4 linked regions of the Ovis aries genome follow. The protein of the gene in region 1 interacts with the protein of each later gene in a biochemical or structural test. Links are inferred from orthologs where the notes say so. Each region holds a gene or a part of one and is shown on either strand. Other genes may lie near its edges.

Region 1 (3,650 bases):
CAGCATTTCTTTGAATGGAACCTGCCCAGCAGGGGCTTCGTATGTTTTGGAAGTACGGGCACGGGCAATCCTGGACTACGGGGAGGGGGAGTATTGGCAGGACAGGGAGGTGGGACAGGACAGGACCGGGCTGTGCCCAGGGCACATGACTTCTCAAAGGCCACTGTTCTTGGAGGGTACCTGGGAGAGAGCTGGACGAGAGCAGCTGCAGGCTGTCTAGGACACCGTCCTCATACAATGCCAGCTTCTGCAGCATCTTCCGTCGCGCCGGATTGATCACGATCTGCGGGGGCTGCGAGGATGTGGAGCTGCCCAGGAGGGGTCCTGGGGTGGAGAGAGGACCCCCTGAGCCTCTGGGAACTCCCTGCTGACACTCATTGCTGGCCTCGCGAGCCTTCCCCATCCCCAGCCTAGTTCCCTCCCTGCCCTCTCAAAGGACAGAGGTCCTGAGCGCTCTGTCTGTGGGCAAGGCCTGGAGCCTAGTCATGGACTGGGCCTGCCTTACTCCTGGCCTATCCTCAGCCAGCTGGGGGCATGGCCCAGTGAGACAAGATGGCCCGGGATGGTCCTTCTTTGGACCTTCCTGGGGTCAGGCGAGCAGCCCAACCCAAGACGGCAGCCTGCAACTTGCTAAGGACAGATGGAGCTTCATGGCGGGTCCTGGGTCTCTCCTCCCAGAAGGCTGGGGTCGGGAGGATGGGGTTTGCCCGGAAAGGAGGCCTTTGGTTCCCCTGCTGGTACCTTCCACAGCTGTAGGCTGGAGACCCGGGCCGCTCCCCCAGCTCGACTCTCGGGCGGCACCCCCCTGGGTGCAGGCAGCCTGCCCGAGGGGTGCTGGCACCCAGCTGGGGGCCCCTGGGCCCGCAGGGCAGCTGGGGCTCAGATGCCAGGAGTGCAGGGCAGCAGAGAGGTCAGACATGCTCTCGTCACTCTCCACGGGCTGGTTGGCACCTTTGTGCGGCCAGTCTGTAGCCTGGGCCTTGGCCCCCGAGGGCACCGCCAGGGGCTGCCAGGGGCTGGCACGGCTCAGGGCGCTCCCGCTGGTGGACACGTAGGAGTTCTCTTGCGGGGAAGGGGGGCTGTGGCTGGCAGCCTCTGGCTCCAGGCATGGCCCTGCCACCACCACCTGCAGCTCCTCCAGTGTCTGGTACACCTGCAGGGAGGGACCGGGGCTCTCAGGGTGAGTGGCCCTGTCCAGGTCCTCACAGAGGGTGGTGGAACTGCAGGGCAGCTCCAGGTCAGGGCCAGAGAAGAGAATCGTTGTCACTAAAGCTAAGGACTGAGAACAGCTTCTCTTTGTCTTTGAGAAAGCAAACCTTGTTGCCTTGATGCCCTCAATGATGCTTCTTTCTTTTCTCAAGAGAGACAAATGAGGGATAGGATGGGGAGGGACGTGGTGGGGGGAGTTGTTCAGGATGGGGAACACAAGTACACCCACAGCTGATTCATGTTGAATGTATGGCAAAAACCACCACAATATTGTAAAGTAATTAGCCTCCAATTAAAATAAATAAATAAAAGAGAGACAAAGAGGTGGAAGGGACACAAAAAAGGCAGATGCAGTGGCGCAAGGCACCCAGAAGGGGGCGCAGTAAAAAGCCGATCGCCTCCCTCTCTGTACCTGGCTGGGTTCAGCGGGGGTTCAAGCCAAACCAAAGGGCAGTTGAGCAACATGTGGAGACTGGCATCTCAAGCACTTCCCATACCCCCAGCTCACAGGACTACCTGGGTCATCGGGGGTCTCCTCTTGGCCCGGCGGTGCAGGCAGCAGCAAGCCAGCTGGCCCAGGGCCAGGCCCAGTTCTGGTGGGCATGGCCCTGGCCTGGGGTCCAGGTGCTTCTTGTAGATCTGGGCGGCAACTGGGGCGGCCCACGTGTCTGCGGCTGGCCCACCTTGGACTGCGGTCTGGGTGCCCTTCAGGGTCACCCCGGCCTCCTCTGCCTCCTCTTCAACCAAGTCTTTCTGTGGGACATGCAACGTGAGTCTGGCCCCCGTGGGCCGTGCCTTGCGCTGCCATCCCCGGCCCTCATCTGCATATGCTCAGCGCTGACTTGGGCCCCCGGGATCCAGCCACACGCCCAGCACCTGGGCTGGCTTTCACAGAGCTGACTTCCTGAGAGGGGAGAGACGTCGATATGCTTCGAAAACCAGGGGAAACCACAGCAGGGAGGCCTCCCCAGGGGTTTTGATGGGGGGGCCCAAGCAAGTGACACTCGGGCTCTGATCAAAAGACAGCAACTAGCCAGAGAGGGCAGGGCTCAGAGGGGAGAGCCCCACGGAGATGGGGAGGGACAGGACCAGACAGGAAGGACCAGGAGCAGACCCTGGGGTCAGGGGGGGGGTGCGGGGCGTGGCCTTTCAGGCAGAGGAACAGGGAGCCGCCAGGTCTGGAGGACAGACAGCAAGCTGGCAACCACGTCAAGGGTCTGGGCCTTCATCCCAAGCATGGCGGGGGTAAAGGGGTTCCACCACCTCCTCACAGTTCTAAAAGAGCTTTTTGGTGGTTGCCCAGAGAAGCCGTGGCAGGCACCCTGTGGGGTCTGGCATGCTGCGCCACTGCGGTGTTGACGATGGGCCCGAGTGCAGATCTATTTGGTGCCCGGCTCTGGCAGAGATCCCTTCGAGACCCGGGAATGGATGGAAACAGCCCCGAGCCCGGGCAACACACCGGCTTATACAGTGTGAAGGATCCTGCTGACTAAGCAGAGAGGAGCTGGATTTTGGGCTCTGGGTCAGTCTGCGGAGGAATAGACCTGCCCCGTAAAACCCAGAGAAGGCATCTGGGGTGAGGGGGGACGTGGTCCGATTCCCATCCATTGCTTCTCCCAGGTCCCCTGATTCTGTTTTCCACTGTGATCGGGCTGCAACCCCCCACCCTGACCACCCCCCCAACCTCGCCAAACCTAGGTGGGGTCTGGAAGGGCCTGTGGTACTTGCCGGGGACAGAGAGGTTTGTCCCCAGCCAGGCAGATGCAACTGTCTGGGGCCCTGCCTACTCTCAACAATGAGTCAGCAGAGGCTGGGCTGGCAGCCCCACGTTCCGGATTGTTCCTCCCTCCCTCTCTCTCTCCCCACCTGCCTCGGGAGGAGGCTCACCAGATACTTGGGCTGGGTGCCATGCATCCTCACGGCCCTCTGGCCGGCCAAGGTCTCCAGCAGCACCTGCAGAGAGAGCAGGCTGCAGACTGGGGCCGCTGAGAAACTGCACGTGGGACTCAAGCTCAGGGGGTCTGGAGGGCCCACGTGGAGGAGAGGAATGGAAAACGACAGACATGAAGGTGTGGAGCCGCGCAGGGCGCCCGAGCTGGGGAAGACGGGTCCTGGGATCTGAAGCTGGTCAGGCCTGCTGGAGGATTCTCCGAGGGCTGCAGCCCCCCACCCCCAGGCCAGTCGAGGGCCCCGCAGCTCACCACGCCAAAGCTGAAGGTGTCGGTGTCCACAGCCAGCCTCCCGGTCTTCACGTACTCCTCAGGCAGGTAGGCCAGGGTGCCACGCACCGTCCGAGTCCGGGCCACACTACTGCTCTGGCCGGGGTTGGCCCCTGTAAACCGGCTGAGACGGGCCAGGCCGAAGTCCCCCAGTTTGGGCATCAGTCTCTCATCCAGAAGGACGTTGGAACTTGGGGACGGAAGGCGGTGGCGTCAGCCTGG
Region 2 (4,421 bases), on another chromosome or scaffold:
AAATCTCTTCTTAGCTACAGAAGCTTCTGTCTGAAAACAGTTCTTCACAGAGCATGACTACTACAGTCCTTATCATCTGACCTACTGGACAACCACAATAAGGCATATTCTGAATTCACAGAACTCTTCATATAGAAGTGATATTTTGACAACCTGAAAGGAAGGTGAAACAAAGACAGATGGAAGCATATTTAGGCTTCCCCTTGAAACTTGGCTCAGCAGCATTTAGCATACTAGACTCAGTTCCCTTCCCTGTACTTTTCAGTCATTTCCTTTAAGGGGTTCCAAAGAAACTAGGAAAACCTGCAATGCCAGCCTTTTGACGGTCAACACTAACTGCTGCCTTTGGACTCCAGTGACTGAGCAGACATTGTGTTAGTAGCTTTCTTAAAGCAAATAAATGCCTTTGGTAAATCTGGTTTGTAAACGCTGCAGAGAAAGTTCAACTTAACCAACTGTAAGGGCACTTCAATGAAGATATTGAGAGCACAGATTTCTCCCTGCCCCCAAATCTTCCACAAAGAGACAATTCCCAGGATCTCTTTTTCTTTTTTAAAGTCAATAAATACCACTATTATTATATGACAGCACTTCTGTATTATTAATAAAAATCCAGGTGACAGTTTTCTCTTTAAAAGTCTTAAATTTATTAGATTTAGCATTATAAGCACTTCACTACATGCATCTTTCCATACACTTAACTGTTCTATTTTCCAACTGTCTGTTTTAAAGCCAAGATCTCTTTCAAGATACTACAGAAAGAGAACAGAAAGAGAACAGGTTAGAAGACTGGGGGGAAATATCAAAATAAGAACATCTTTCCCTTTTCTGATGGAATCACCAGAATCTAAAATCTAGGGGCAACTATAAAATACAAAATTAAATTCAAGAGAATTGCAGATAAGAAAAAGTCTTGTTATTACAGTTCTGATCATTATTCACCTCAGGAAATAACTAGTAGAAATGATGCTTGATTTAAATTTGCACTACCTTCTAGTTTGGGTCAACTACCAAAATAAACTTGTCTTCAGAATTATCTTCCTCCACAAGAGGTTGTTGGTGCGAGTAAAAAACATAAGGGATTTATATGCTGTATTTGTACAAGACGGACAATGTTTTGAAAGATATAAATCTGATCACTCTGAGAAAACATTTTCTCTTTGTTAGTTACAAAGAAAACGCCATAAACTGAAACCAGAACTGGAGAAACTGAACCTTCTCCACAATTCAAAAATTTAAATTCACACTACTATGAAAAGTAAATAACAACAAAAACACTCTAATCTTTCTGCTCAATTAAGGTAACACATACACAATGTAGAAAAAGACAAAGCCAGTTCTTAAACAAAAGATCAGCTGCTGTGAAAAAATAACATTCTGCAGACTAAGAGAAGTACACCGTCTTTGAACCAAAACAAATAGATGACCTTTTCGTATATTTAAAGCTTCAGTTCTTGGCACAACCAGCACCTTATGGATAAAGCGCTCACTCAATTATCTGATGACTAAACGATGGGAAAGCTGTTGGTGCTATTAAAACCAAGACACATTTCCTTGTGTGCAGTGATTAAAATCTGTGAAGCCTACGTTAAAAAGTCTGTCCTCCCACCCCCATCCCCCATCCCTGCTAGTCTGCCTTGTAAGAAACCTACATGTACAAAAACCAAAACTAGATGGGTGAGTTTATGATCACAGTATTTTCCCCACTCCGGGCATTTTTCAAGAGACTTTTGAGGTTTTAAAATTCAAACACTATGTAAGAAGAGTTATGGTTTGAACTACCTAACAAGTACCCCGACCTCTTTTAGACTTTAGTTAGCCTATACGTAAAAGGAACATCTTTAACTTTTCCACGGGGCACTGGAGAACGAGTTCTTACTCATAAATGCTTTCAGGTCTTCAGACACCAGGTGCGGTGGAGGAGCAAGCTCTTCTGAACCTCAGTTTACCCACTTACAGAAACGGGCTTATTAACTTGTTTCGTCGGGGCCCCGGAGGTGTAATTAATTAATGTTTTTAAGTGCTCTGTGATCCAGAGATGAAAGGAAACGCGAGGGACACGCAGAGATGATGACAATAATCATAATAAAAAGAATGACTAACTTGGAAGTCTGTGTTATGTAAGGAAAGGAAAAAGAAGTTATCAGTTTCGCACAAACAAAAGAAAAGCCCACCACCCCTTTTGTTTCCCTTTGGTTTCGGTCTCGCTCCCAGCCCCCGCGGAGCTCCCCTCCGGCAGCTGGCGACCCTACCCCGGGCGCGGGGCTCGGACTTGGCCACCCTCGCGCCCGCTCCCAGGCAGAGGGGGAGGGCGCGCCGGGCAGGCTCCTGACAAAGGCGCTTCCTCCTGCGAGGGCGCGGGATGCCGGCGCCGCAAACTCCGCTCCCGGCCGCCTCCGGCGCGGGGGCGCGCAGGCGGGCGGGGAGAGCCGGCCGGCCGGCCGCCCCGGTAAGCCGCTGAGGAAGTTGCGCGCCTGCCTGGCCCGCACCCCTCGGCGGCCCCGCCGCGACCCCTCCTGCGGCCACACTCACCGGACAATTGCTGGTGGCCGGAATTCCCAGCACGGCCCCGAGACACGGAGCGAGGGGGGAGAAGTGTGCGTGCGCGGGCAGCGCGAGCAGACAGCCCGGCGTTCCGCCGCCGCCTTGTTCGCCAGCCGGCCGAGCCCAACGAGGGGAAGTTGGCCGCGGAGCCGAACGCTGGAGAAGCCGCGGGCGGAGGAAGAGCCGCGGGATCCGCCTTGTGATGCGCTCCAGGAGGGCTCGAGGCAAATCCGAACGCGCGGCGAGGCTGCTGCTGCTGCTGGAGGCGGCGGCGGCGGCGGCGCCCCCCGACGGTTCCACCGCCTCTGGGTCTCTGACCCACGCTCGGAGGGAGGGGAGGGGACTAGCGGGGGGGCGGGACTGGAGGGAGGGGACAGGGCAGGGCCACAGAGGGAGGCGGTGCGGCGGCGCCGAGCGGTCTCTTGGGAGTTGTAGTTCTCCTCAAGAAAAAAGCTGTACATTGTTGTTGAGGACGCGTCTGCGTTCGCTCTGCAGTGCGCATGCTCGGGAGGGAGGCTCGGCCCTACTGTTACTATGGTCACCGACACACTAAGGAAGGGAACGTGTTAAGCGAGGCTGCTGACTGAACAAGGCCCTCCTTGTGTTATGGTACTGTTAAGGATCCCACTTTTGGCTAGTCCTTTAACTTCGCTCCACCCCCAGCTTCTAGACTCATCACGCCAACTGCCCAGTGAAATCTGACTTCCTCACCATATCTCGGTCTTCCCTGCTGCTTAATTTTATCCCATAAATTCAGGATCACAAATACCCATTTCCCTCCCTTCCCGCAAATGTATCCTCTCTGCCTTAAATTTAAGGTTCTTTGTTTGTTTGTTGTTTAACCTAAGACTTGTAGAAAGGTGTTAGTTGTTCAGTCATGTCGGATTCTTTGTGACCCCAAGGACTGTAGCCCCCTTCAGGCTCCTTGGGATTCTCCAGGCAAGAATACTGGATTGGGTAGCCTGTCCCTTCTCCAGGGGATCTTCCTGACCCGGAGGTGGAACCCAAGGCTTCTGCATTGCAGATTCTTTACCATCTGAGCCACCAGTTGCTTCCGATATCTTAATTAATTACGTTATAAAAGGGTTAGGAGCATCACCACTGTCAGATTCCCATCATTTCTTCACGCAGTCACATCCAACTTTAAGGCCAGCAAAGGTAAAGCTCAAGGTTAAGATCACTGTATCTTACTTCATCCATGTTAAAAAATTTCTTAAATTTTAAGGCCTACGATTTTCAAGAAATACAAATTTTATAAAGTAGAAGTTCAAAAGATAAGTGGAAAGTTGAAAATTGTTTGCTGTACGTACATTGACCAACTTTCAGTTGGCAATAAGAGAAGTCTGAACCAAGGTCTGAGTATGCTTTGGGGCTGGTCAGCTAAGTCTACGCCCATGTGGGACAGCCAGGTGTGAAGAGATGGTGGACGAGGGTGGTGCAAGGCAGGACATGTTACTGGATTCCAGAGAACTAAAGGCAACCTATCCCAAGATCTTTTGTTTTCCTTCTCTGCCTACCTAGAACCCCATACTCTGGAAGAAAAGGACTAGCGTTTAGAAATCAGAAACACAGGAAAAGCTGCGGTTTTCAGGTAGAGAGTTTCAAGGTCAAGGATCCTTGTGTTTGCAGACCCCATGATTAATATTCAAAAAACAGTTATTGAGTATAGTATGTCTCAGGTACTTCTTCAGTTCCCAGAAATAGAGATACAGGAGCATAAAAGAAATATTTATTATTTTCAAAGTGCTTATTGTGCAGAGGAAGAGCCAGGTAAATAAACAAACTGCAATAAATACCTTAGTAGAAAAGTTTACCAGATGGTTTGGTACACACCTACCCCAGACTCAGATAGGGTCAGGAAATGATTCAAAGATCAT
Region 3 (4,191 bases), on another chromosome or scaffold:
GCAAGGCAGAAGTTATTCTTATGTCACATTTTAAAAAAAGAAATGTGCAGAGTTTTATTTAAGCTCAATTTCAAAACAGCAGTGAAAGGCAACTGAAGGAGAGGAAGTGGAAATAAGAGGTCTGAGAACACAGCCAAGCTTTTCATGGTGACAGTCATGTTACTAAGCATAGTATCCTTAATATGCTTATAATCTTCCTAAAATACATTATTCACTCCCATGCTTTCTTCAGTAAAGTATTGTAGATAACCATTTACCTAGATCAAAAGTGGTTGTCCGTTTTTGGGCAACCCAACACCATCATTATGAACAAAAGCCTGTGACACCTTCTAGACCTAATAGGTTATACAGGACTGCCCTTCTCAAACTGGGATGTTTGCTAATATGCCATAAATTAAACACAATATATTAATACCATCCTCAAAAATCAATTTAACTTAATGGTAAGTAATTTGAAACATTTTGGATATATTTTTTAAAAACCAAAATATTATTCATTCATGAATATTTACTGAGACTCTATTTTGTGCTGGATATTGATCCAGGTCCCTGGAGATAAAGCATTAGGAAAATAAGAAAAAAAAATTAACTGAATTCATGGAGTGAGTGAAGTCACTCAGTTGTGTCCGACTCTTTGTGACCCATGGACTGTAGGAGCCTATCATGCTCCTCTGTCCATGGGATTTTCCAGGCAAGAGTGCTTATATTCTAACAGATGAAGATGGGTAGTAAGCATTTACTCTACAGTACACTGTGCTGTGTTAAGTTGCTACAGTCATGTCCGACTCTTTTGTGACCCTATGGACTGTAGCCCACCAGGCTCCTCTGTCCATGGGATATTCCAGGCAAGGATACTGGAGTGGATTGCCACTTCCTTCTCCAGGGGATCTTCCCAACTCAGGGACGGAACCCTAGTCTCTTATGTCTCCTGCATTTAACAGGTGGGTCCTTTACCACTCGTACCACTGGGAAGTCTTTATATGATGCCAAATGAAAAGGAAAAAAAAATAACTGAGAAGGGGTTTTAATTTTAAATAGAATACTCAGAGTTGGCCTCAATAAGGTGCCATGGGATTAAAGGTTTAAGGGAATGAGAAAGCTAGCCACTGGGATATCTGTGGTAAGTTTCCGGGCAAAAGGAATAGAGAATATAAGGGTCTGGAATGGGCTCACTGAGGAACCACAAGAAAACAGTAAGACTGGAGAAGAGGGAGCAGGAAAGCAGAGTAGAAGGGAGCAGTAACGGGGCCAGGTCCCCTAAGGTCCTACTTCATTTTCATCTTCTGAGGGAGATGAGAAGACAGGGGAGATTTTGAGAAGAGGACAGATGTGCTCTATACTTAAAAGGACATCGGGGACTGCTGTGGAAAATAATTGTTGTTTAATCTCTGTTTAAATTATTGTTGAATAAAGTATATTAAAATGAGGGCAGAAAAGCAGGAAGAGATTAATTAAGTACATCAATAATCCAGGTGGGAGGTGCTTGTGGCTTACATCAGAGTGGTAGTAAAGAAGGTAGAATTCCTAAGATGATGGATATTTTCTGAGGTAGAAACCTCAGAAATCACACAGAATCCTGTATGCTGCTATGAAGAGTGACAAGTTGGCACCAAGGTTTCTGGCTTGAACAAGCTTCCTGACCTTTACAATAAGATGGAGAAGACTGTGAAAGGGCCCTGACCGTCTGTACCCAAGAGGAGCGCGATGTATGTTAGTATCGCGCCTTGAGTTAGGCGGGGATGGGGGTGGAGAAGACGCCCGTGGTTCCGGCCCTCTCCGCCCCCTTCCTGACCTTTACAATAAGATGGAGAAGACTGTGAAAGGAGCATGTTTAGCCTGGAAGTTCAGGATTTCTGTTTGCACAGGGGTAAGCAAACGTCAAATGAACGTTTAGCACGCAAACAAAAGTAAAAAGAAATCTTAACTTTCTGACAGGTCTCGTCAAGGATTACCCTCAGAAAGGGAAAAGGCAAATCTGAATATCCTCTGCTCTCAGCTCTTAAGGCAGAGACGTTTTTGAGGCACTTGTTCAGTTGCTAAGTCCCGTCCTACTCTTTGCGACCCCAAATAGCCCCCCAGGCTCCTCTATCCTCCACTATCTCTGGGAATTTGCTCAAATTCATGTCCAGTGAGTCGGTGATGCTATCCAATCATCTGTTCCTCTGCCACCCCTTCTTTTGCCTTCAATCTTCCCCAGCATCCCATCCTAAATGGCTAAAATGCTTTCTGAGGTTGCTTTTCATCCCTTGGCTCCCTCTCGTTTCCAGGCTGTCGGTACCCTTTCCCCATCTGATAACGTACTGACAATGCCGCTCCACTTTCTAATTTCCTGGAAGCCTGAGAAACTAGCTAATTAGAATTTTGGGGGGGGGGGTTTAGAATGCTTTCCACGCGGTCAGCATCTTTGTTGGGTGCTGGTCCTACTTCCTGGTTCTGAGGAAAAGAGATTTCATTTCGTAAACAGGGTTCTCGGAACACATAGCTCGGGAGTTGAGAAACTCGAGGCGGGGTCCGACCACCGAGTGACGCTTCTCTTCGCCCCACGGTCCTCCAATGGAGGACCCACCAATTTTCCAATCCCTAGGGACCCACCCAAATCTTTACCCTGGAGCAGGCGCTGCCCACGCAACCTACTTCCCCTCTAACTTTTCTCACGTGCGCTGAAGGGATTTTCCTTCCGAGCAGTCCCTCCACAACCCTGAGGCCAGGGCGCAGACCTCGGACACTTCGCGGAGAAGGTGGCGCGCAAGTCCGGAACCCCTTACCTGCCCGGGCGCGGGGCGCAGGGGCGCACGGGGCGCCGCAGGGCTGAGCCAGCGACCTCAGGACCCAGGCACTACGAAGGGCCGGGGCGTGCCCAATCCGTCAGGTCCCGCCCCCGCCCCTCTCCGCCCCCTTCCTCTTTGCGCTTCCCCCTCGCCGCTTCACTGAGTCAAAAATTCCAGAGAGGCGTTTCTTTAAGTAGGAGCCTGTCCCTTTAAATACTCTTCTGTCGGAGCCTAGCTAGTTTATGGCTTCCGGGCATGCGCACGGCGAGGTGCGGAGGAAACCCTTCAGCTGGACTTGAGGTAGACTGGGCTGAGCTTCTTGGCGCCACGTGGGCTTGTGCAGGGGGCGATGACAGTATCGGCATTGAGACCCTGACGCTCTGTCCCCAAGAGGAGCGCGATGTGAGCTAGTATCGCGCCTTGAGTTAGGCGGGGATGTGGGTGGAGAAGACGCCGGTGGAGCCAATGGCTGTGTCGGGGGTGCTTTGGAAAGCGCCTGAAGTCTAAGCTGCAGGAGTCAGTCCTGCTGGTTGGTGGCAGAAGTAGGAAGTAAGAGTGAATTAGGTGGAGCGTTGGCGGTGGAAGGAACAGGAGGAGCTACTGTCCTTTTTTAACATCCTGCTAGACTCTGCCCTTAGCCACAACCCAAATTCCCAAGCCTTGGGTCAGCCAAACTGCCCTCTCCATGTCCGCCCGGCAGGCTTATCGACACATCTGTGGCATGGAAACTCGACTCTGTGTGGGTTCCTTGGCTGCCCTTCAGCACGGTTCCACTCTTACTAGGATGCTTGGCCGTAATTCCCTCATCGTTGTATTCTCAAATTGTTCTCCTATGCCACTAGCTTAGAATGTTTTCCTATCTTGTTCCTACAGCTGAGCTCTTGATCACATCTTGTTGCTTTTGATCTTCTCTAACTGTTCAACAGATTCATCCTGCCTAGTACTATCAGTCATCTTACTAAAACATCTTTTAGGATTGTGTTATTTTCCTGCTCAGACACCTCCAGTGGCCATCGATTAACCACTCAATGGATTCTAAGCCCCTGACAGGGCATTAAGTGTTTTACCTAGTTTGGCACTAATCCGGCCATATTTTCCAGAACTGTGCTAGAAAACACTTTCTCCTACTGCTCTGTATCTGGGCTGTTCAGTTTTTTCTTAACACGTTGCATAGTTTGTTTATGCCTTTGCCTCATTTCTGTCTCCTGAAGTGTTTTGAAAATGTGGCCACTTCTTGCATTATGCTTGACTGATTATTCTAGGCAAAAGTGACCCCTGTCTTTCTTCCTCTTCACTCTTACTGCTCTTATTTTGTACTAGTCATTGTATTTATTCAATAATCAGTATTGATTGTGCATCTGCTATGTGCTTGATTCTATTCTAATTGTGAGATAATCAATGAATAAGGCAGACAGATTCTTTC
Region 4 (4,100 bases), on another chromosome or scaffold:
CCACGGCTCCAGCTGCAGGGAGGGTGCTGTCAGGCCGGGTGGGGGCTCTGTGCAGCCTCCCCCCGGCCGGGGACCTGGCCCCTCACCTTCACCAGGACCAGGCTCTTCTCCTTGGGCCTCCCCACTGATAGGTCCTGCCCGAAGCCCAGGTAGATGGTGTAGTGCGGGGAGCTGCGGCGCTGCCGGGCCCGGAACTCCACCAGTTCTGTGGAGCAGGGCTCTGGTGAGGGGGCGGGGCACGGAGGGCCCACAGCCCAAGGGCAGGGGTGTCACTGACCTTGGAAGAAGGTGCCGAAGTCAAAGATGGGCGTGTCACAGTCCCGGGGCAGCAGGCGAGCGGGGCTGGAGGCGCTGGCTGAGCCCAGGGGGCCCCCCACCTCCCAGTAGACTTTGCACTTGCCCAGGCGCCGGGCCCACAGCCGCGGCCCCCGGAGCTCCAGCTGCAGGCCGGGGCCCACGTGCTGAAGCAGCTTCTCTGTGTAGTGGAGCTGCTTCTGGTCGGGCAGCTCGGCGGGGCTGGGGAAGGCGACCTGCTGGGGCCCCAGAGCCTCTCCAGCTACGCCGGGAGGACCGTACAGGAGCACACAGCTTGGACGCCCCACCACCTCCTGCAGCACTGTCCGGCCTTTATACAGGATGGTCAAGTCCAGGGCCCCTAGGCTGGGCTCTGGCTGCAGACCAAGCTGTGAGCAGCCAGGGCCAGCCAGGGGCGGCGCCCCTGCCGTCGGCGCGCAGGCACTGGCAGAGGCTCCCACGTGCGGCTCCGCCTCTGGGAGCTGCCAGGGCTCTGGGGGTGGGCCTGCGTCTGGAAAGGAAGAGAAGCCTGAGCTGACACCTGGGCCCCCAGGTCCTCCCTTTGCCAAATGTTCCCTGGCTCCTCGGGCTGTGGCCTGAGGCTGGAGGCACCACCTCTGTGGCAAGTATAGCTCTCAAGCAGAGGGCTCTGGGCCTGCGGAGGCCCAGCTATACTGGCCCAGCTGTGACCAGCACCATCCCTGCCAAGCACCCCCTCCCCTGGGCTGCACTCTGCTGTCTTGCCTGTCCCTGCAGGGTAGAGCACTCCCCACCCCCTGCAAGAGGCCCTCACCAGGAGCCTCTGGGGAGATCAGATCCAGCAGATGATCCTCCAAGCAGCTCTGCTGTAGAGCCTGGATCAAGATGTCCCCAGCATCTCCAGCGAGGCTTGGGGGGCAGGGTTCAGGGTTCAGCCGGTGCCCCAGGCACTCACCAGTATCTGCTGCCAGGCATAGCCCCGGGAGCCCGCCCTGCAGAAGAGGACAGCGCCAGCATAAAGGAGCTGCCCCCAGGCCCAGAGAGGGAGCGGCCTCAACCCCGGACGCAGAGCGGCCTTACCCTTGCAGGTGGGGCATCTTCTAGGGCCTCGTCCTCCCCCTGGTCAAAGCCTAGGCCTTCTGGGGGAGAATTAGGGTTGGGGAAACGCTGAAGTGAGGCGCCTGGATGTCAACGCCCCCTTGCCCCCGGAAGCTGGTCTGCGCTTCCCCTTGGAGCCCCAGCGGGCTCCCTTCACTCCAGCGCTGCCACCCCCCCTAACTGGCACCAGCTTCTCCCATACCAGTTTCTAAAACCTAAAATCTGACTTAGCAGCTACTCCCAGGACACAGCACAGTCCCCCTGCCGGCAGCACCCCAAACCCCGGCCTTCCTCACCTCGGCACCCCGGCTCAGAGCTGATCTTGTACACCTTATGAGGGTCTGTAGGGTCCCCCGAGTTGTCTTCCAACATCACGAAGCGCTGCGTGCTGTGCAGAGCGCAGCGGAAGTTGGTTTTCCAGGAGGCCCGCAGCGCACTCTCAGGGATCGGCCGGGCACCTCCACCGCTGCGGGGCGGCCACCTGCCTCGGGCCACGGCCCAGGCCTGAGAAAGACAGAGTGTAGAGCACGTGGCCTGGACTTGCGAACCTGGGCCGGCCCTCCCCAGCCCGGGCAGAACTGGGGTCTCACCTTAAAAATGCGCGAATCGGCTTCACCCAGGTCCTTCCGCGCGAAATGCTTCCAGGGTACGCGGAAGCGCGTTCGGGCCGCGTCCAGCCACCGTAGCCCCTCATAGCGGCCGCTGCTGACCTCGCCCAGAAGCCAGTCTCCGAAGAGCACGCGCGGGGTTCCCCTGCGGGCGGAGCAGCCAGGTGTCAGGGCGCAAGGGGGCCGCCGGGGGCGTGGGGCCCGCACCGGGCAGGGAGGCGGGCTCACCGGTCTGGAGCCTCGGCCATTGGTCCCTCCGCAAAGGCTGGGCCTGGAGACAGTGGCACGCCCTCCGCGCAGAGGGCTGGGGTCTCGGGGCGGTCGGGGGTTGGCGCAGGAGAGGAAGGTTGTCTGTGAGTCTCCACAGCTAGTCCCGGGTGTTGGGGGGTCACAGATGCGGGCTTCCAGTCACGGCGTTGCGGAGGTGAGTCCTGGCCAAGACGGCGCTGGATGTGGCTACAGACGCGGCCGGTGCGCGCACGACGCGTCACAGGTTTTGAGCCGGCGTCCGGGCTGGGCCCTACGGGGGCGCGACGGGAACGGCCGCAGGAAAACGAAACCCGGCGTTGCGGAAAAACGAAACCTAACCCGCCACGCCCCGCGCGTCACCGCCACCTCCCCGTCCAGGTCCCCGAGTTCCAGACCCGGGCCCCGCGCCGTCATCCGTGCAGCCCGCCCCGCCTGGTCACTGCTCTGCGAAGCGCGTCCCGGACCCGCGCCTTCCGCCGAGCTCCCTGGTCACTGCTCCGAGAATCGACCCCGGAGTCCGACGAGGCCTCACACTCGTGTTCTTCCCGGGTTGGGCCTCCCCAGTACCTGGCGCAGGTTCGGGCCGCGTCCAGCCTCAGGACGCGGAGTCACTCGTGGGGAGATTGATCCCCTGGGGCTCGCGAGCAACCGCTTTTATGGTGGCGGGGGCGGGGCGGGGCCGGGGGCGGGGCCGGGCCGGGGCGGAGCTCCAGGTGCCGGGGAGGGAGTCACGTGCGCCTGGAGCGGAGCCGAGCGCAGGTGCGCAGGACCCGCTCTTGGGCCGCGGCGGGAGGCGGCACCGGGGTCCTGGCAACCCTGGACCCAGCCCCGATGCGGCCCAGCCGCTCCCCTCGCTCACCCAGCGCAGCGGGGCCTGGGGCCAGCAACCAGCGTCCCGGGAGAGGCCGTGGGATAAGCCGAGGGTTCCAGAAACAAAACCTGGCGCATCGCGGAGCGGAAGAGCGGGCGATGGGTGCGTGGGAGGGGCTGCGGCCGCGCTCTTTGGATTCTTAACCAGTGACAGTTCCTCAGGCAATAATATTCAAATACTGTCGAGATTAAAATACTTGGGAAGGGATGGGAAAACACCGGCGACCCGGGAAGAACGGTAGTGGTGCTGGGGGGTCGGAAGTCTTGCCTGAGGGCCGCCCCGAGGAAGCCAGTGGAGGGGGTTCGGGCCCCAGCTTCGTGACTCTGGGTTCCGTCCGTCCATAGCCTCTGTTCCGCGCACCCACCAGCCCCACGTGCCGCACTAGGCTCGTGGCCACCGTCGTTCTGGGCCACACCCCCCGCCGCCAATCAGTCCAGCCACCTGGACCGGGTGCCTCCGCGAGAGCCCCAGAGCGCTTACTGCCCTCCCTGCGGCCCACAGGGGCAGCAGTGTGACCCTCGGGGCGGTCCCGGGGCCCACGCCCTCCCACACGAGTCCCGGAGGGGGGCTTCTGGCCAAGTGGCTCCTCAGCTTCCCCCAGACGAAGAATCTCCATGTCGAGGCGGCCGCGGTCAGACCAGGAGAGGAACTGCCTGGCCACCAGCTGGCACCAACCCTGGGAAGCCCCTCGCGCAGCAGGTGGTTTCCGGGAAACGGCGCCGAGAGCTCAAAGCAGTGCCCAGACCGCCCGCCCCTCGCGGCTCCCACAGCTCCCCTGGCGGCCAGCAGACGTCCCCACAGAACCGAAAATGTTATTTTATTCTGCGCCGTGGAGTGTGGGGACAGCCACCAAGCCGACTCTCGGGGTCCCGACTCCGGGGGACGCGGCATTAGAAGTGGATGGAGTCGGTACCAAGCGCGTCCTGGGCATCCGCAGCCTCGTCGCCGCTGCCCTCGCTGCCAGAGTCGCCAGCGCCGCCCACTTCCGAGGCGGGCGTGTT

Evidence for each region.
Region 2: of the proteins of IRAK1 (region 1) and PELI1, one has a biochemical effect on the other in vitro, tested with the Homo sapiens proteins (5 studies listed by BioGRID and IntAct, with this or other methods). The link is inferred for Ovis aries from reciprocal best matches to the Homo sapiens genes IRAK1 and PELI1.
Region 3: of the proteins of IRAK1 (region 1) and IRAK4, one has a biochemical effect on the other in vitro, tested with the Homo sapiens proteins (2 studies listed by BioGRID). The link is inferred for Ovis aries from reciprocal best matches to the Homo sapiens genes IRAK1 and IRAK4.
Region 4: the proteins of IRAK1 (region 1) and IRF7 form a complex in vitro, tested with the Homo sapiens proteins (2 studies listed by BioGRID, with this or other methods). The link is inferred for Ovis aries from reciprocal best matches to the Homo sapiens genes IRAK1 and IRF7.

What each region holds. Positions count from the first base shown.
Region 1 is NC_056080.1:80,282,956-80,286,605, reverse strand, and holds part of IRAK1 (interleukin-1 receptor-associated kinase 1), read right to left. Parts: intron 3,619-3,650; coding exon 3,411-3,618; intron 3,163-3,410; coding exon 3,097-3,162; intron 1,963-3,096; coding exon 1,726-1,962; intron 1,154-1,725; coding exon 742-1,153; intron 325-741; coding exon 181-324; intron 1-180.
Region 2 is NC_056056.1:44,146,898-44,151,318, reverse strand, and holds the start of PELI1 (E3 ubiquitin-protein ligase pellino homolog 1), read right to left. Parts: upstream 2,860-4,421; 5' UTR 2,533-2,859; intron 1-2,532. UniProt on the Homo sapiens protein: E3 ubiquitin ligase catalyzing the covalent attachment of ubiquitin moieties onto substrate proteins. Involved in the TLR and IL-1 signaling pathways via interaction with the complex containing IRAK kinases and TRAF6.
Region 3 is NC_056056.1:142,992,403-142,996,593, forward strand, and holds the start of IRAK4 (interleukin-1 receptor-associated kinase 4), read right to left. Parts: upstream 2,860-4,191; 5' UTR 2,656-2,859; intron 1-2,655.
Region 4 is NC_056074.1:47,073,533-47,077,632, reverse strand, and holds the start of IRF7 (interferon regulatory factor 7), read right to left. Parts: upstream 2,860-4,100; 5' UTR 2,796-2,859; intron 2,500-2,795; 5' UTR 2,228-2,499; coding exon 2,208-2,227; intron 2,125-2,207; coding exon 1,962-2,124; intron 1,876-1,961; coding exon 1,668-1,875; intron 1,413-1,667; coding exon 1,354-1,412; intron 1,266-1,353; coding exon 1,088-1,265; intron 806-1,087; coding exon 278-805; intron 206-277; coding exon 87-205; intron 13-86; coding exon 1-12. Other genes in the region: CDHR5 (cadherin-related family member 5), read right to left, coding at 3,990-4,100.